2 linked regions of the Pelodiscus sinensis genome follow. The protein of the gene in region 2 interacts with the protein of the main gene of each other region in a biochemical or structural test. Links are inferred from orthologs where the notes say so. Each region holds a gene or a part of one and is shown on either strand. Other genes may lie near its edges.

Region 1 (9,867 bases), on a different chromosome or scaffold from region 2:
TCGCCCGTTATATTCAGCAAAAGCTTCCCTCTTGCAGATGCCGACGAGCAAACATGCCCCATGTCTGTCATCACTAAGGATGTTTAAATGTGGTCAATTGACTAGTCGACGGAACGTCCATTGACTAGTTGATAGGCACTTCCGCATTCCTCCTTTAAAACATGCAAGAGCCCCTGCTGGAGCTCTTGTACATTTCAAAGGAGGACTGCAGAACTCCACATACAGCCTGGGGCCAGCGGGACGGCTCGCTGACTCCGAGCTGCACACGGGCACCTGCTTTGAAACGCACAAGAAGCCACCGCCCCTTTGAAACGTGCAGAGGCGGCAGTGTCAAAGGGGCAGCCACCTCCCAGCTGATCCGTGATCCACCGATCAGCTGTGATCCATGGATTAGTCATGTGGTGATTGCCCCTTTGAAACGGTCGCCTTGGAGTTTCAAAGTGGCAGTGCTGCTGTGTGGCGCTACCGCTTTGACGTACTCTTCTCCCCACCCCTGCTTTGCTGTCCCTCCCTCCCGCCCCCCCTCCAAGGGCAGGCAGGATGAAGGGCGCCCTGAGAGTAAGGTGGTGGGGCAGGTTCTGGCATGGCCTAGGGGATAGAGAGGGGGCAGGGGGAATGTCAGCTAGTCAAAAGCCTATCCAATAAACAAATGCTTATTGGATAGTCAACTAGTCTAACATCCCTAGTCATCACACCGACATCCGGAAACCATTCACAGGAGTGAGGGGATGCACACGCTGCTGTCCTAGATGTCAGGCTAGCTGCAGGAGTCACCCGGGCAATGGGATTCACTGGGGCTTTGGTCATAGGGTTTCCGCTAAAGATGATCTATAAAGAAGAAAAAAAAACGAACGGGGATTGGAGACCGTTTTTGCTGCTTTATAGCAGACAGCAGGCCAGGAAGGAAGCGAGTTTGCTGGCACCATTAGCTATTCAGAACTGATCTACTAAGGGAGGCTCTACGGAGAACTAGTAAAGTTGACACAAATGCACTGATTCGAAGGCCTTTGGATTGCCTGATCTGAGCTCCGGAGAAGAGACAGGCCCCCCAGGACCCCAGAGCAGGTCCCCCAGCAAGCCCAGAACTGCTGAGTGAGCGACAACAGATCTCCTAGAAAGATGCCCCGCTGAAATTAAGACTTCAAGTGACGGGGAATCCACCACAGGCCTCTTCTCACAAGACAGGGAAAGCCTCGCGGCTGAGAGAGAGACAGACTGCGCAGCGCCCAGCCGAGGGGAACTCCGCTCTTGGTTTCATTCCAGCATCCCTGTCTTTGCTAAAGTTCCACCCTCAAGCCCCTGGACCAAGTCGTGAGGGCTCAGGAAAACTAAGAAGTGGGATTGATGCGCCTGGCATTTCTAGGGGACAGGGAATGGAATTTAAAGAGCCTTTGCAGGCTGTCCTTAGAGAGCGAGAAAGAAAGAGAGAGGGTGTGTGTGTGTGTGTACACCTGCAGGAATGCACTGCAGAGGAGACAGTGGGTGTAGCAGGTAGAGCACCAGTCCAAACCACAAGGGTTTTATTCCTGGCTGGGCCACTGGCCGACTCAGTGAGCTTGCGTAAGCCACGTCGCCCCCTTGTGCCTCGGTTTCCCCAGCTGTGGAATGGAGAGAACCTTTGCAAAGCTCTTGGAGAGAAGCATGGATGAAAAGCCATGGAAGAACGAGCCAGTAGAATGATCGTAGGGGCAGCTTTCAACTGGGTCTACCTGCCCCTTTGCTCTCCGTTTGAAGCCTGCCGCGGGCTCTCAACGACTCCATGCGCTCACCTGCATTATACGCACCCCTGCCCCAAAGGCAGCTTCCCAAGGAGCACCCAGCAGCCAGTCTGGGCACCGCCGGCCTCAGGCCACTCTCACCAGTTTCTGGAGGGAAGAGAGCTCCTCTGGCAGGTAGCACAGGCCGGTCCGGTTCAGCTTCAGCCATCGCAAGCTGGTCATGGACTTCACGTGGTCCGGAAAATAGCCACCCTGAGAGGCGGGAGAGAGAAAGAGCCACGCTGGGCATCCGCTGGGCAGGGAAACGGGTTTCTCATCCAGACGGGGCGGTAGGATCCTGTGCTCTTAACACCCTCCCCACACCGCAGAGGGGAACCACCCACGGCCCCTTTTCCGGGATCCCTGCCAAATGCACCAATGTGACAGGCTGTTCCAACAGCGCGGGACTTACTGTAACTAGGGATGTTAGATCCCATGTAATCGAATAGTCGTGGAACCGCAGCATTTTAGCGGTCACACGATTATTTGATAGTCCCTGGGGACTCACACCGGGGAGCCCCCCGCCGCCCCACATGGCTGCCTCTGTATCAGAGGCAGCAGCGCAGAACAGCAGCAGACCCTGTATGCAGGGGTCTGCGCTCGCCACGGATAGAGGCTGTGCCAGCATCCTACGGAGCAGCCTCTGTCTGCAGCAAACCTGGGTCTGCCGCGGGCAGCAGCCTCTCTTGCCCCCCTGCCTCCCCCACACTGCCCTGGGAGCCAATCCTGAGCGGAGCAGCGGTCGGGCAGGTTATGCAAGATTAGGGGGCTGGGAGGCAGCATGAATCCCGTGGACGGACACTCGCAGGCCCCGATTCTGCCGAGGCTCAAGCACACGTGTAGCTTCATTCACAGGAGTTTGCTCCTCCCACGAGGGTGTTGTGCCCCAGTGTCGGTCACTGTGCGAGCCTGGCCTTAGCAGGCGTTTTGCTACCGCTGGTGGAAGGTTTCTAACTAGCAGCCTCCCCATCCAGGGAGAGGAGGGGCAGGCAGACCCACGCACCTGCAGGAAAGGGCCTTTCTCCCATGCAAAAAGATTAACCCAGATTGTGCAACTGCATTTGAAGGGCCTGTTTAGCGGCAGGTTTCACAACCCCCACAGCCACATCGCAGAGATAAACCCTGCGCCACCCCAAACCATACCAACGCGGGCCCACCGGCATGCGCCGCGCCCAAGGGCCATTCCTCGGATCAACAGCCTTCTAGGGCAGATCTGCCAACGCTGCCATGGGAGGGCTCCGGTGCTGGGGGAGGGTAATTGCAAAGGAAGAACCTGAATTTTAACCTCACAGGAGGGAGCATCTCTGCATGCCCCATCCAGGGCCGGCAGAGCGGCCATCCTGCTCCTCAGACGCGGTGCCTGGCAAGGGCCGGCATGAGCTCATTTCTCTGCCTGGCCCGGTTACAGTTTCACACACGGTAGGAGTCAGCGTGAGTGCAGCACATGGACTCATAGCTCCTTAGTGTCACAGGGAGATTATACAGGCCCAAACTGTGGGTCACGTCACAGCACCGGGCAAAGTTGGCTGAGTCACTTAAGTCACACGCAGACCAGCAAAACCACCATGGCCAAGGGCAAGCGATGGGCACAGGGAAACAGGCTGACCAGAGAGCATAGCCAAAGGACCACCAGCATCCAGCAGCACGGTCACCCCCTGGTCAGAGGTTAGGCTGGGGAAATAGATCCCAGGAGGCAAAGCAAGTGAGGGATCAGAGCAGGGTTGCATTCCCAATTCTGCCAGCGTGACCTGGGGCAAGCCCTTTCATCGCTCTAGGAGGGATTTTCTACCAGCAGCTCGCCATCTTTTTCCTTCCAAGGCCTCTTTCCCCAGAGCTATACAAACTCCATGGCCCAGCTGTGTTAGTTAGCACAACTGTTTTCCCGCATATAAAAGCCAGGGGCAGCAAGAAGGGGCCCCGGCCCCACATCTTAGGGGCTCTATGACGCTTCGTTTCTCAGGTTTCAACTTCAGTCCGGGGGTGCCCATAAACTTCAACTCCACCCAGAGTAGCTTTGGCTTTCTCGCTCGGACCCTAGAAACCTGCTGGGGTCCCCCACGCCGCGGATGGAGAAGGGCTGATTTACAGAATCCTTGCCCCTCCTCACAGGGACCAGGAGGAGATGCGATTAGTTTCAGTGCGGGGCGCCCTGAGTAAAAATGTTTCAGGGGGGCAGGCGAGTGAGTCTGGAACAGGAAAAACTTTAAAAACGACCCATAGTCTGTAGCCAGGAGGCCCATCACCCCCCAGAACCAGGGGCTCTGAAATTGCCCGGCCTCTCTGGCAACCCCCCCTGCTCTGGCCAGGCCAGCTCGGCCCCCTCCCAGCGGGATGTCAGGCCCCACAGTGCAGCCAGGGCTGAGCCACTGTCTAAAATTAGCCAGGCAGGAAACAGGCAGGGCCTAGAGGCTGGGAGCTGCCCAGCCACCTCCCTGTCTGTCGCCCAGCCCCGGGCTTTGCCCGCAGCCCAGCCCAGGGTGGGGGGGGGGCCTGCGGTACCTTGAAGTCGTTCCCACTCAGATCGACCCCCCGGATGAAGGGGAGCACCCCGGTGGCAGCCATTGCTCCGCTCCGCAGCAGCTGCAGCCAGCCGGCGGCAGGGCAGGGCGTGTTGCATTGACACCCAGCCTGCGCTCGCTCTTTTAACCCCTTCCTTGCCAGGGGCGCTGCAAGCCTCCCAGGGAGCTTTGCTTTTAAACAGCCCCCTCCGGGAGGAGACGTGATCGCAGCTGCCTGCCTCCACCCCTGTGGGGGGAGAATCCCCCTTTCTGTGGTCCTGGGGGAACCTGCCCCATTCTACCTTCATTGTTGCCTGCGGCTGAGAAGGCTTTTAAGGGGCTACTACCCCCCCCCCCGTTCTCCTGGAGCCCCCTGGAACAGTGGGAGGGCGAGAGAATGTTAATACTATTGGGAAGGATAGTGGGGCAAACTGCTAGGAAAATTACAGCCAGCTCTGGCCGATCTCAGAGGGCTTTACAAGCAAGGTCAGTATCACACAAAGGAAACTGAGGCAAGGGGCTTTCCCAAAGACAGCCCACTGGGGCTAGAACCCCACTGTAGGTCTCTCATCAAGGGTTACAGAGCCTAGGAAGGTTATCAGGTTTTAGGGTCTCACCTAGGCTTATGTAGCTGGGCCTATTGACTGTAATGCATTTAATTGTCTGCATTTAATGAAATGCATTACAGTCAATAGGCCCAGCTACATAAGTCTAGGTGAGACCCTAAAAGGGGGGCCCTGTGATCCAGGCCCGTGCCTATGTAGACAAGAGGAGACAGGTTATTAACAATAATTAATAAATATTAATAATTAATAACACAGTGCTGTCTCATTGGGGTCCCTCTCTGTATCTACCCGCTACCTCGTCTCCTACTCAGATCTTAAGCTTTTGGGGGCTGGCTGGGGCCCTCTTTTGGTTCTGTGTTTGCACAGCACTCAACCCAGTGGGCTGATCCTGTTCCAGGATTGGGGCTAGATACTCTTGCCACCTCTGAGCTACCCCAAACCCAGAACATCCAGGAAGATCCTGGGCCCATAAAACTGCACTGAACACCCGTCTCCCATTCGCAGGGCAGCTCACTCCAAAAAAGCAAGCAAAGGGTAGGGAACCTGCAGGTGACAGCTGTAGGAAGGCCCACAGGATGCAAATGCCTGCCTTAGGATCCCTGTTCCTAGTGGTGACAGGGTAGGGGGTGTCCAGGGCGGATTTCTGCACTGTCCCCCCTCCCTCGCGGAGTCTCTGTCAGCTCTGCATATAGGCCCCTCTACTACCCGGGTAGGACTAAGCGAAACCCCCAACCCCACCACATCCTCAACCCCTTCCTGCTTCTGTCCCGCTGCGCCTTTAAGGCGAAGAATTGCCGGGCTCCGCCCACGTGTGACGAAGCCGAGGCGAGGGGCGGGGCGCAATTGGCAACCGGAGGCTCTCGTTACATTTCGGAACGTTGGGACAACAGGCGGGCGCTCCTATTGGCCGCCTCGGCCCGACCGAATGTGACTGTCGCCGACGTTCGCTGGGGATCGGCCGTAGGGGAGCCGCTGCTGCAGTAACCGCGGGGCCGGCCGAGGCTTGTTCCAGCCCCCGGGGCCCGGGCCTTGCCGGGACCCGCCTTCCCCCGCCGCAACATGGCCTGACCTAGCGGGGCTCGCTGCTCAAGGTGAGTGCGGCCGCGCCGCTCCCGGCACCTGTCGGTGAGTTCCCGGGGCCTCTGGCTTAGTCTGGGGGGCAGCCTAACGAGGTGTGAGAATCTAGAGCGGGGGCCCAGTGATCCAGGCCCGGAGGAGGGGCGACACAGCTGGGGGGCCTGATCCAGGTTCAGTAGGGGAGGCACAACTGAGGGGGTTCCTGTAATCCAGGCTTGATAGGGCGGCACAGCTGAGAGGGGGGCCCTGTGATCCAGGCCCGGTGAGGGGCGGCACAGCTGAGAGGGGGGCCCTGTGATCCGGGCCTGGGGGGGAGCACAGCTGGGGCAGCTTTCTGTGATCCAGGCCGCTGTCTACGTGCTATCTTTTGTTTTTTACAGCAAGGGCACGTGTGGGGAGAGCAAAGTCCAGTTCCTCCTCCGTAGCTGCGCAGGTTGGGCTGGTGTCACAAGGGGATGGGGCGCGTTGAGTTAGGGTGCGGGAGGTGGGGGCAGCTTTGCTATTTCCTGTCCAGCTAAAGAAGGCCGCTGGGCATTTCTGACAGCACGTATCCAGTCCCGGCTGGGATCTGGCGTTGAGACCCTTTGGCTCTCTGGCCACACTATATCTACGGCTATCCATGGCTCCTTGTTGGCAGATACGGATACAAATTTGGTATCGAGAACCCTGCTACTTTGCCGTTATTTGCTTTATACCTATGGGTATCCACAGATGTGGGTGCGAATATCTGCAGAGCAGTTTTGCAGATGGGAATATAAATTTGGATCGGTGCTGGCCTCTGTTTATGTTTGAGGGACTAATAGACGAATTTCTACCCTCCAACCCAATTCCCTTGATGAGCCTGTTACATGTTCAGGGCCTTGTTGATTCCTTGATCCAGTTTTTGCCCTGTTGGGCCTATTTCAAACCATTCCATTATTCACTGGAAAAAACCTGAAAGCTTGAACTCCCAGCACAGCCCCGCTTGGCATTCTTGCTCGTGAGAGTTGTGTGCGGCTGTACCAGAGCGCCTGCTGGGGCAATAGGTATGCCTCCCAGTAGAGGTGTGACTGGGGAACTGGTTACCCAGTACGTGGGAGCAGCCTGATGTGCACAGAGGGGCTGCTGTAGCCCCGTGGAGGGCCCGGGAGCTGGAACCAGCCTTCCCACACTTGGGGCTGTTGGTCCTTGCCCATTGGAGCGTGTATTCTGAAACAGAAACTATAGCTGGGAAGTAGATTTTGAGCTCTTAATTCCCGGAGACTGTAGCCCCTAAGAAGCTGTTCCCATAGTGACATGGTGAAACTGAGTCATACTGGGATCATTACTCATGAGAGGTCTCTGCCATGTGAGGAAAGGACACAGATGAAGTGTGGGTTTCAAACTCTAGAAGTCTGAGCTGCCGTGTTCACTGTGCACTGTCCCGATGCCGCAGGGGTCTAAGAATTTGGCTGTGGCCCATTTGCTGCCAAGCATCAGTGGGGAAGAATCGCGCCTGGCCTGAGAAGTGACGTGCATGGTGGTCTCTTCTGTGGGCCGTGCGTGAATAATGCATAGCGGCTTGGGAAGAAACGGATTGTAAGTTTGCACTGTTAAACTGAGAGGAGGGATAAAGCTGGGTGGAAGTAGGACCAGACGGCTCCTTGATTGCTGGGGCTGTGAGGTGTTCACACCCTTGTTTTGTTCACTGGCTGATGGCAGCAGAATCTCCATGCAAAGGGATGTGTGAGGTGCCTTTACCTTGAATGGACTTGAAGCTCCTTGAGTTATCTTACACCGTGCCCACAGTGCATTTGTATGGGAGCCCCGTTTGATGCTCTGTAATTCCCTGTGTCCTTTCATCTGGAGCTTCATGACCCACGGGGTTATTTTTCCCATCTTGCAGATGGGGAAACAGAGTCACAGAGGTCACGTGACTTGATCGTGGCACAGCAGAGTATCACTAGTGGTCTGGAAGAGAACCTTGGATTCTGAACTCCCGGCCTCCTGCTTGGGCTACCGACTTCAAACTGACAAACTTGTCTAGAAACTGAATTCAAGCCCCATCTCAGTCAATTAATTTTCCATCACAAGTCAGAAAACCCTGTTGCACTAAATAATCTCCCTTTTTTTTTAGTGTCATTGTCTCTGTCACATTTACAGGGCAGGGTTCAGTAATTTGTGGGGGATACAATGTAGCAGAAACGTGTGAAATGGAAAACTTCTCTGATCACCAAGTGTTGGTTATTGAGACTGTTCTAACAACTTGAAGGCAGTTCTAGGTTGGGGGGAGGAAGGCATGGAGCTCAGTGGGAAGGCCGTGATAAGGAAGACGAAGGGGGAAATGGAGATGCAATTCTGTATAGCCAGGAAGGTAAGTGTGAAGAAGCTATCAAAGGGCCAAAGAGATCTTCTAGGTCCATTCCCTGCTTGGTCTCAGTTAGATTAAATGTCGCAGCTAATGGACCATCTGCTCCTTCCCCAGGGATGCTGTTCCACAAACGAGTAGATCGTTTTGGAAGGAAAATTTCCATGCTCTTCAATGTTCCCAAAGGTTCCACCAAGTCACCTTGGACCCCAGGTGCATCACCTTGTGTGTTTCTCTCTCTCTGCAGGTGGAGCATGGCTGAGCTGGTTCATAAAAGGGGGAAGAGGCGGGATGACAACGGGCTGGGTGGTGCTGTTGACTTCCTGTTGGCCAATGCCAGACTGGTGCTTGGGGTGGGCGGTGCTGCTGTGCTGGCCATCGCAACTCTGGTGGTGAAACGGGTAAGTCTGGGTTCCTCTGGAAGATAAACTAGTGTCCCTTCGGCACTCGTCAAGCTGTGACTTGTGCATGGGGGCTTCAGGGACGTAACTAACTTACTTAACAAAAGAGCTAATCTCCCAGGTTGCAAAGGAATAAGACCTTGCGATGCATGCAACACCAAAGCAGCAGACTTTCCGTCCATGTCTCTTTCCATGCAGAACTTGGCCCTTCAGGCAGGAGGGAAGGGTAGCTCAGTGGTTTGTGCATTGGTCTGCTAAACCCAGGGTTGTGAGTTCAATCCTTGAGGGGGCCATTTAGGGATCTGGGGCAAATCTGTCAGGGGTGGTATTTGGCTCTGCCATGAGGGCAGGGGATTGGACTCAATGACCTCTCCAAGGTCCCTTCTAGTTCTATGAGATAGGTATATCTCTGTATTTAAGCAGAGTAGAAGCCCTGCATGTGATACCTGTGTGGTCAAAGGTTACAAAACCTGTTGGGTGTATTTTTGGGGAGGCAGGAGAATTATTACAGGGGAAAGGAAGATAAAGCATCTGGTCTCCATCATTCTTCTCAGCCCTGGACACCAAAATGTCCCTGAACTCTGCCTGTGAATGTGATTCAGCTTTGTATTAAAGGAAAAAGAACGTTTTGGCTTTCTAAACGTAACAGGGTGCAAGATTTTCTCATTTAGAACAGGGTGAATTGCTTTCAGTCAAATAGATTTAAATGACGGATTTTCAATTACGTTTTGCACTTGTACTATCTAGTTATGTTCCTAAAGAAAAGTTGAGTCTCATTGCTTGGTTACCGTTTGTTCTTCTGTTAATTTGCAGCTAAATCTAGGTGTTAAGTTTGGTTGTTCTTTTTTACTAACCAGGAGGATACATTGTACCTATACACATTTATTGAAGCAATTGTGTAGCTTAACCTATTTTTTTTTAATGTTAGATGAAGGTGCATGATGCATTCCTTTAGTACAGTGGTTCCCAAACTTTTCGGCATCACGCCCCCGTCTTGATATTTGAGAAACCCTCACGCCCTTCCCCCTCCCAAAAAAGCAGCAAAACTTGGGGTGGAATTGACCGGGACGTGTGTGGCTGGGTCACCTCATGCCCCCCCTCCCGGAGTTTCTTCATGACCTCCAGGGGGGCACACCCCCAGTTTGGCAACCCATGCTTTAGTAGAATAATTTTTTCCCCTTGTGACCTGTCAAATCCCAGTTGGATTCAGTTACACTTGCACAAAACCCGCATTTAAATGTA
Region 2 (10,488 bases):
TTCAGATGACCGGTAATCTGAAGAAGTGGGTTGTGTCCACGAAAGCTCATGATACCATCTACATGTTTTGTTAGTCTTTAAAGTGCTACCAGACTATTTGTTGTTTCTTAAGTTTATCCTGCACAGACTAACTCGGCTACTCTGAATATCTAGGGAGTAAGTTATGTCAAAATAGCAGTAGTGGAGCGCTCATACTACTTTTATTTCAAAGTAACTATTCCAAAATAAGCGTTATTCCTTATGGAAAGTAGGAGTTATTATTTTGAAATAACCAGCCCCTTAGTAGTGTGGATTCTCTGCTTGTTATTTCAAAATAAGGGTAGTTGTTTCGAAAGAAGTCCCCCATTATAGACCAGGGCTAGGAGGGATGGAAGATTATTTTTCAAAATTATGCATATCTTCTTATATCCAGTGGTAGACATCCAAATCCATTGGATGACCACTTATATTGAGAATTGAGAGTTGTGTTTTTATAGGGTTGCCAGGTGTCCGGTATTGGACTAGACAGCACAGTATTTGCGGCATGTGTCTGGTAAAAAAAACCCAGAAAATACTGGACATGTAAAATGTCCGGTATTTTCTGTTTTTTCTTGGATAGAAGGCCACTTGGGACATTCTTCCCCTGCTGCATCTGGCGGAGGTAGGGGAAATGTAGGAGTGCGTGGGGATATAAAGGGACCGTGACTCTTTTTTTTTTGTGCTTTTTTGTTTTTGCTCAACAACTTTTTGTTTGTTTTTTGTGCAACCAATTTTTCCTTCTGTGTATTTTTTGTGAAACTATCTGGCAACCCTAGTTTTCCACAATAGTGGCTCTATGAGAATAGTTTTGCATTTATGTACATTAATTTTAAGTCATATGTGTTGCCATCTTATTTTAGGAAATCCAAAGGGAAATATTTGGAATGAATTTAAATAAATTAGGTGGTCACCTGTACACAGGCTTATCGTTATGTTCACAGAGACCAAGTTTGACACCAGATATATTATAGTTTGTTCAAATGGCTATGCAGACAGTTATTGGTTTGATTACTGTTATATGTAAGAGAGGTGAAAGAATACAGTCCTGTTTGTCTCATCTTTTTAATTTTAACAGTTTAGGGGTTCGTCTAGACAGTGGGTCTATCGGAATACCGAAACAACTATGTTGCGTCTTTTAAACTCTCCCATTTTTTTGAAATATTTTTTGAAATAAGGGGTACACTATTCTGGCATCCCTGTAACTCTCATTCCATGAGGGTTAAGAGATGTGTTGAAATAGCATTTTATTTTCAAATTTGGCCCTATGTAGTCACGCCAAATTTCAAAATAAGCTATTTCAAAATTCAATTGAAATAAGATATGCAATTTGAGTAGCACAAATTGTGTAGCTTATTTCGAGTTTAGGGTGCTGTGTAGATGCACCCTAGGTTGTATTTGGTTCATAATTGTTTTTTCCCTTTGGTTGTTGGAAAAATACATTTATCCACAATCTAAGTTGAAAAAGAAAAACTTAGAACACTCTATTGAATGTCTTTTCTGAATCAAATCAGGATAAGCATGACTGTTTTATTCCATTATAATTAGCTGAAATACTTAATAGCCTTTTGTTATTGTTATTGGCCATTCTATTGTTAAGTAAGACTGAATTAATCTACATTAATAATATAGTATTACTCTTTCTAGATATACTTTTGACCTAATTTTGCTATTTTTAAGGGACTTTGCTTTATTTGGGAACATAATCATAGTGATATGATTTAGGTTTTGGGGTGTTGGTGGTGAGGAATATCTATCTATCTATCTATCTATCTATCTATCTATCTATCTATCTATCTATCTATCTATCTATCTATCTATCTATCTATCTATCTATCTATCTATCTAGTAAACAGGGAGTGATCAGAATATTGCATTTAAAAACAGTCAGGGAATAGCCAACTTTGCTGCTTTGCGGCTTGAAAATATTTTATTGTTTTATTGATTTTTGCCTTGGGAAAGATTCTCTTCATATAATCAGATGTTTGGGGATAAGTGTAAATCCTATACCAGACTTGAAAAAACTACCCAGGGACAACTAGCTTGAGGACTAAGCCAATCAGCCAGAATATAAATAACTTTCAAGGCCCTTACACCTCTTCTCCTACGAGTTGTGCACTATATTTAAATGATACATACTGTCAATCAACTACCTATTAAATACATTTTAAAATATGGAACTTATTATTAGGGCAGGTCAAATAGCAACCATCCGTGCCTTTCCACTTATCGCTTCAAGAACATATTTCTCTCCTTACCTTCCAAGTCCTGTCCCTGCTTCCTTTCTTGACTATGTTTCCTCCAAAGATTGACTCTCTTATTGCTATAATTAGATTTCTATGACACTAACATTGGAGTGGTATATTCTAGCATTCCTCAGCATGCTACTGTGATGCATTTTGGGAATTGCACCAATGTAGGCAGATGACACTGCTGAAAAGTTAAAGGTGGGAAATTTGAGTCTCTAATGTCACCATCAAGATGTGCCTTTGATCATGAGATGTTTCTGAAATAATAGTGAGTATGATTTGGAAGGGGAAATTAGAATCTCCTGAGAGAGGTTCCACTTAAACTTTTCTAGATCAGTTGCAGAGTGTGGTGAGGACTGACTTCTTCGCGTGATGTCAGCTGTCGGTACTATATTGGTAAGTTTGAGTTCTGTCACACACAGCTCTTCTCAGAGCCAGACACTGCTCTCTCCATCATCACAATTACAAGTCAGAGACTTCATGAAAGTCAACTAAGAACAGCTTAACCTGAAGAATTAGAAGGAGATGCTGATTAGCAAGAGGAAAGACTTTGAGGCCTTAGTTAACAATATAATCATTCCTTCAGATGAAGTAATCTGACCAGCTATCGCTGAATTAGTCTACACTCTTAGGATCTGTTGTTTTATTCACCAGTCACATATTTTCTTGTTAGTATGGCTCTTGCCTCAATAAGCCACATGTTTGTAACTTCTTGGTTAGACAATTCTAGCAGACACTACCAGAGACTATTTGTGAAAGTCATTAAGAAGGTCGGTAGTAATCTAGAAGGCAGCCACCCATCTTTTGATTGGGGTCTGTCAAAAAGAACACATCATCCCTGATTTCTGTTCTCTGGACTGGTTCTTCATTGACTTTCATGTGAAATTATAGGGCACTAGTTCCTACCGACAAAGTCCTAATTCATCTAGGCTCACTCAGACAGCCTGTAGGATGCCTTCATCATCTGAAAGCCACAGCACAGCATGCATTCTGGAATTCTGTAACTCCATGTTCCAGGAATGAAGCTTCTGGAAACTAGTAACAGGACATTTCCAGCAGAGGGCCTGCACTTTTGCTGCCCATTCTCTTCAGAAATATGGTTAAACATGAACCTTGCCATGTATAAAAAGAGCTTCAGGATGCTCCCTTTTTTGTCTGGGCCTTATTTAATAATAGTACATGGGGTGGGCTTTTAGCTGATTGATCAGATTCCTCTCAATCTTAGGGAAGTATACTGGGTTGGTCTCCCTCTTATTTGGAATGCTAGGGCCCAATCCTGCTCCTATTGAAGTCAACAGAGAACTCCCATTGACTTCTGTGATGCAGGGTTAGGTGTTTACTCCGATAGGACAGTGATCGGTATCTTTGCATGACAGAATAATAACAAACACTTTCATAGTCTTATTTGACTCATAATAAAGAAAAAAATGTTTTGGCATGAAAAAATTAGACCAAAGAAGTTTGAGAAGATTCTTTTTGAAGTAAACACATTCTTCTATTCCTGTCCCTATAGCGAATGTCCACATTTTTCCTTTCAAATACTTATGAGTAAAGAGTTGGTAAAAGTGGAGCTCACTTAAGTGACATTAGAAAGTACCAGTTTATGATATCTGTATTCATGGATAAGAATCCATAAAAATTCTCATCCTAAGCAATGGGGATGTCTAGTGGAGTAAAATCCTACTTAATATAAAGTATCAGAATCTGGCCTACAGTAGTTTACAAAACGTTAGCCGAAAATAAAACAAAACCAGCCAACCCTACCCTCTCATTGTCAGAATAGATGTCTAATTAGTTCTTTGATGCATCTATATAGAATTTTTAAAAATTTTCCTCTGAGATCATACAGTTCAAGCAAATTTCATTTTATATTACTGTAGCAAGGGAGGCTAGCCTAATTTACTGCTCCTCTCCTCCTCTTTCCTCCTTCTGTGGCTCTCTGAGCAAAGTTTGTGTTCCTCGTATCTACTTGGTCCCAAAGCCTGTCTGGATATTTACTTTTAAAGGCTTGGAGTTTCAATATTTTTCCTTGGAACTGTCAGGTGAGGGTCATCCCAGTGAAGAACTTTCCAGTGAAACAATAAATCCTCCCCTGCCCTTGTCCTGTCATCGTAGCATAGCAGACATCCCTGGCAGCTTGATCACCCTCCCCTACACATTCTTGCTTTGTGTATCCCTCAGGGTCCCTCCTCCCTTCAGTAATATAAATGGCTGAAATATAAAACAAAAAAGACACTTGGAAATTTATCAAGTTGAAGCTGCATCAGTCTAAAAAACTCAGCAAGAAACCTGAGTAAATTGTAAAGAAGTTTCCTGATGTGAAAGTTACCTAGGTGATTTGTAGTAATTCATACTACTGTGTCATTGCATTATCTGCCTAAATCTTTTCAAATGAAGTGTCTGGAAAAGCTGCTTTTTTGAATGTTGCAATTAAGCATTAACCTTGAAATCAGACAGTGTTTTATCAAAATAAGTAATCTGCATTTAGCTGTTAGGAATCAGTACAGTTTGTTAGTTTGGGATCTTTTGCACTTTATCTTTATTTATAACTTGCAGATTTATGGCACATGTTTTAGTAATTTGTAGTTTTGTAACCATAAGTTTTACTTATGAAAGAATGTGAAAACTGGACTGCTCTGCTGCATATGTTGTATAGTGCAGTCAATTACCTCAAGAAAATACTTATTTTTCTTATGACTTCCTTTTTCGATACCAGAAATATGACTGAGTTAATAAAACCTTAGACAGAGAATGAAAACAGCTAGAATAGTAGAAGCTTTTTTGGTGCTTAAATTAACCAGATCCTATTTTTAAAAAGATCTTGGTAATTTTTTAAAAATTGTTAATGCGATCACTAGTTGCAATTATACACTGATGTGAGCTGAAATTTATAGTAGAAAACTGTTTCCCCCATGGGTTGAAAAGAAGAGTGATATTGGGAATATCAAAGTCATAGTCTAAGGGTAATCTGGCCTACTGGAGATCACCTTTTCAAACCAATGGACAATACAGTAAAACTCCATTGGTCCGGCATCTGATGGTCTGGCACTCCTGATGGTCCGGCACCATCAGGAACCCGGAAGTGCTCCAGGCAGCCGGACCATTGGAGCTGCTCTGCCCCTGGCTTCCCTGATTCAGCCGCTACTGAAGCTGACCAGCGGCTGAATCAGGGAAGCCGGGGGCAGAGCAGCTGGAGTGCTGCCAGTAGGTCCTGTAGTGCTGCCCCTCAGCGCTGCGGGACCAACCCAGCAGCACGCCAGCTATCCCCGATTCAGCTGCTGCTGAAACTGACCAGCGGCTGACTCCAGGAAGCCAGGGGCAGAGCAGCTCTGCCTCGGGCTTCCCGGAGTCAGTCGCTTGTTAGTTTCAGCGACGGCTGACTTGGGGACGCCTAGGGCAGAGCATCTGGGGTGTTGCTGGGTTGGTCCAGTAGCGCCACCCCTTGGTGCTGTGGAACCAACCTGGCAGCACCCCAGCTGCTCAGCCCCAGATGACCCCAAGAGCAACTGAGGTGCTGCCGGGTTGATCTTGCAGCGCCAAGGGGCAGTGCTACCGGACCAACCCGGCAGCACCCTAGCTGCTCTGCTGCAGGTGTCCCAATTCAGCTGCTGCTGAAACTGACCAGCAGCGGCTGAATTGGGGACGCCTGGGGCAGAGCCGGACTATTAGAAGGGGGGGCTATGAGGGGTCTGGGGTGGCATCCCCCCCACCCCACCCTAAACCCCTCATAGCCCCCCCTTCCGATAGTCCGGCATAGCTGATAATCTGGCACCCCCTGGGTCGGACGGATTATCGGAAGTTTACTGTACTTTCCCTAGAAATTAAACACTCCAGTCTGAAATATGTGTGCTATATAATTTAACATGTATTTTGTCTCAGACCTGTTGCTGCTTCAGTTTCCCTCTACCGAAGAGTTTCTATTTTAGTTCAGGGGGGTCATGTGACCTTCTCAGCCAATTACAGCACTCCAGAAGTAATGCCAACAGCCTTCTTGGATAAATGTAAGTGAAAATAGCTCTCAGTTTTTTCAGTTTCTTTCCCTCATGCTCACTTTTACATGTTGTTTTTACTCAAAACATTGCTGCGCACACCTCATGGTGCCCATGGGAATGCTTACAAGTATTATTGTAACTCTTTTTCTAACGTCAATTTTATTTACTGTCTCTTTGTTTTCCGTGTCCAGCAAAAAGCAGCAAAAAACAAGGGAATGCATTCCAAATGTTGTCATTAAGTATGGAATAAGTGTACAGTGAAAATCTCTTATTCAGTATTATTTAGCATTAAATCTGCCATAGCCTAAAAATTACCCTGTGCTCAAGCTCCAGACATAGTCACATGAGTCTTTCAGCCAAAACTGATCAGCTAGGAGAACAGTTATAAATGAAATTATTAGCTCTCTTGAGCCTGTCTCAACCAGTTGCATTAAACTGAATAATTAAAAGGTTCAATAAATTCATTTCAAAGACACAATACTGTAGATATCTATAAAGAGAAGGAATACAGCATCTTTCGTGGGTGATGAATTTATTACTTTCATGAATCACAAAGGCTACATTGTACCCTTTAATGAATGTAAATATTACATTTTGATCCTAATAGATGCTGAAATCTATTTACAGGATATGATATTTAAATAGTAAATATAACAATATTTTTCTCTTTCTTTTCAATTATGGGTACATTCTTTAACCCGTTCTCAAACAGAGGGTCTTTATCTGAGTACCAGCTTTTCCTTTAATAGGATTTCTGGCACAAAATTAACAGCTTAATAAGCAAAGACTATCTCTTAATTATTTTGAGCCTTCTTTTCACATTGTGAACTTTTTTTTCTGAGATGATACATATTTGTTTTCCCGCATGGCACATATGTATATAGCATTTTGCTGTGACTACTTTATTATTTCAACACACTTTTTGAAGTTTACAGATAATCTTTGAAGGACTATTTTCATTTTGAAAATTAGTTTCAGGTTTTGCATAGAATTTGAAGGTAAACTTGGTAGTGAGAGCCTGATCCAACACCCACTGAAGTTAACTGGCATCTTTTTATTGACTTCAGTGGGCTTTATATCAGGCCCCATCCCATGTTGCAGCCCTTTTAGGTAAAAGGCCTCCATGAGAGCTTCTGTTACTTTATTTATGTATTTATTTTTGCATAGCTGTGATATATACTTAATCATAAGGCATCTCTCAAGTAAATGTAATGAACCAGTTTCACAGAAGAAAAGAGATAAGAAGCATGAACATATCTCTTAGTATTTTTTCTATACTGTACTGCAGAAAACGTGTCTCTGTACATTTTAGTTCTGTTTAACTGGCTGTTTGTCTCATAATTTTTGGATTTTTTTTTCTTTTTTAAGATGAAAATTCTCAGACTTAATATGAATAGAATTTTCTCATTGTTTAAATTTAAATGAAAAGAGGTTGTTTTATATGGTGTTTTATTAAGATCCAAAACAATAAACCCAAAATTTTATAAATCTAAATGGAAACATCAAGATAGTAAAGAAAAAGGGATCAACTAGAGTTCTTGTCAAAAGCTACAAAGCAGACATCATACACAAATGGAAGGTTTTAGAATAAGGAAAAAAATAGGTGAGGAACATTGCCTTTTTAATCCAGCCCTTCATTTCAATATATGTGATGAAAGATAGCAATGTATTCAGATATCTGTTCTATTTAAATATTCCACTCTGTGGTGTTGAGAACCCAAATACAACAGCCACGTGCTAGTGCATGATATTCAGAAATGAAAACAAAATCAAAACAGACTATTTGAGTGAACATCAGGAAGCAAAGTTACTAATATTTTGAGTGCGAAGTCAGGAACAATTGTAATTTATTGTAACACCTTTGTGTCAAAGTTGAACAGGCTGGGAAGGGGAATGTATTCAGTTTTTGCCATTTAAGCAACTATGTCTGTTCATAAAATTTTAAAATATATTTCTAATTGTATTTAACCAAATCAAACTGTTCCTTCAAGATCCTGAGCAATTCCTCCCTGGTGTTCAGTGCCCTTAACTCCCACTGACTTCCATAGGAACTGAGGATGATCTGCATTTTGTAGGACAGGGCTACTCAACACGCAGCCTGCAGGCCACATGCGGCCTGAAGCCCATTTGTTTGTGCTGTCTGGCACAGTTTGGGTTTACGTGGGGCTCAATACGTGGCCAATGGATGGGAGCCAAAACAAAAAAGTAGTCAATATAATGGTCTTCTGTTGATATGTGTTTTAGCAGTTAAATTCCTGGACTGTCATTGCTCATTAAAAGTGCTGTCATATGGGTGGAAATCAGGTAAATATTGCATTTTATTAATATCAGCAGAACTGACTCAAATGGGGCCTGTGCATTGTGTAGTATTACCTTAATCTTTGTATTCATGCTCATCAGTGTGAAAGGAGCTATTTGCATATATTTGCATATATATTTGCATGTATATACAGCCACACTTAAGTTGTGGCCCTCAGCATGTGGCCCCCGGGGCTTCCAAAGTTGAGTAGCCCTGTTCTAGGAGGTGTCAGCTCTTACCATAGCAGGGGCCTAACATTAACATGCCCAGAATAGCGAGACAAGTCCCATTAGCAGCTATACAATATTATGGCTCTACTTATTCAGCCCAGTGGAATCTCAGCACTTTCTTGCCTGCCCCCAAATTAAAAGAAATATGGCAATTTCCCCATGAAACAGCAATATAATGCAGTATACAAATCACAAATAAAAGGTAAGTAATTGGAGGATCTGTTATCATTTATGTCTTGCTTCCTTGTTTTCTGCTATTTTAATTTCTTTGCTACTTATCCATTCTCCTCCACTGTTACTTAAAATTTCATTAGAAAACAAACAGACAAAAAAAAAAAATTGCAGCTGTGAGATTAGACCATACCATAAATTCAGTGGGAGTAGGATCAGGTGACGTGTGCATGAACTCTAAAATATTTTCCTTTCCCTCATGTTCTGTCCTCTGTTCTTGGTTTCACCTCACTTAAACTTGAAAAATGCCACTCATGTGGAATGAACATCACAGGTATCTATGCTGATACTGTCTCACTCCAGCCAGCCGAGATGTCACTCATAAGCAGTGCAGCAGATAATGAGCAAAGTGTTCCTTCAGCTCCTCCTCCTGGCTACTAGAGAGTACTTCTGGGCTTCTGCTGAGGCAACCAGTTTCTCTTGCCTATCCCTTCCCATTGCTACTGAGTCCCTCAGCCCTGCTGTGCCACCCAGGGCTGCGAACAGAGGCAGCTCATAGAAAGGAATAGGTGTCCAGCTGTCTCTGAACAGTAACATGCACCATTCTCAGAAGACAGTCAAGATGGTGGGGAGAGGAAAGAGACGGGGGACCAGAGAGAATATAAAGATATACAGGGGGAGAAAGGATTGTGGTTGAGATTGGTCCTTTATAGGCAGAGGGTGAGCAGAAAAAGTGGGGCAAGACAATCAACCTACACACACACTTCATGCATGCTGCCATGGTACCGTATTTGAATATAATCGCTTATTGCAGCAAGGAACATGCATGAAACAAGGACTGCAGGAGCTAGCAGAAGAAACACTGAGAGCTAGGAAAGGAATAGAGGAAGCACTTCTCAGAGTGGCCATTACTGGCTAGAGGGACATGATAAAGCAAAAGAAATACATTATGCTATAATTTTGTTCTCTACAGGACAACCCATTGGGCATGTGAAATGGGGAGACAAATGTGCAACAGTTTGGCAGGTATAAATAAACAAGCAGCAAAACTAGTGACAAGTAAAATCAAAGTAAATCTATCTTCACTTCAAATGGAAACACCAAAGCATGAAAATACAGGAGGCTTGTTTAACTTGCTTCACATAAGCATTAACAGATAGCAATACATTAATATCAATTTTAAATAGAAAAAGGATACAGAATAGTTTACACTAAAATTTCCTTTGGGAAAGCTATTTAAATTTCCCATGTTTTTCTGCCTTAATAATCTGGGTTTTGATTCTGCCAAGACACATTGATTTCAATGAGATGTAAGTACCTACTTAAAGTGAACTATATATTTAAATTTATGTCTGAATCAGGGCCTTATATTGTCGTTTATTAGTAATAGAGAGGTAAAGTTTACAAATATGTACTGAACTTGACTATCTCTTTTGACTGAATTCTTTCAGTCTGGCTTCTTTTGCGGTGACAACGCCCTTGGCAAAACGTGATAGGAGTTCATACAGGGCTTCTTTCCAGATGGAAGTTCA

The links. The genes of interacting proteins can lie anywhere in the genome.
Region 1: the proteins of ESR1 (region 2) and FLII form a complex in vitro, tested with the Homo sapiens proteins (2 studies listed by BioGRID). The link is inferred for Pelodiscus sinensis from reciprocal best matches to the Homo sapiens genes ESR1 and FLII.

The regions. Positions count from the first base shown.
Region 1 is NC_134726.1:34,200,594-34,210,460, forward strand, and holds the start of FLII (protein flightless-1 homolog), read right to left. Parts: upstream 4,414-9,867; 5' UTR 4,320-4,413; coding exon 4,257-4,319; intron 1,971-4,256; coding exon 1,860-1,970; intron 1-1,859. Other genes in the region: MIEF2 (mitochondrial dynamics protein MID49), read left to right, coding at 8,479-8,625. UniProt on the Homo sapiens protein: Is a regulator of actin polymerization, required for proper myofibril organization and regulation of the length of sarcomeric thin filaments. It also plays a role in the assembly of cardiomyocyte cell adhesion complexes.
Region 2 is NC_134713.1:107,786,961-107,797,448, forward strand, and holds the start of ESR1 (estrogen receptor), read left to right. Parts: upstream 1-6,167; 5' UTR 6,168-6,240; coding exon 6,241-6,265; intron 6,266-10,407; exon of another isoform or gene 10,408-10,488.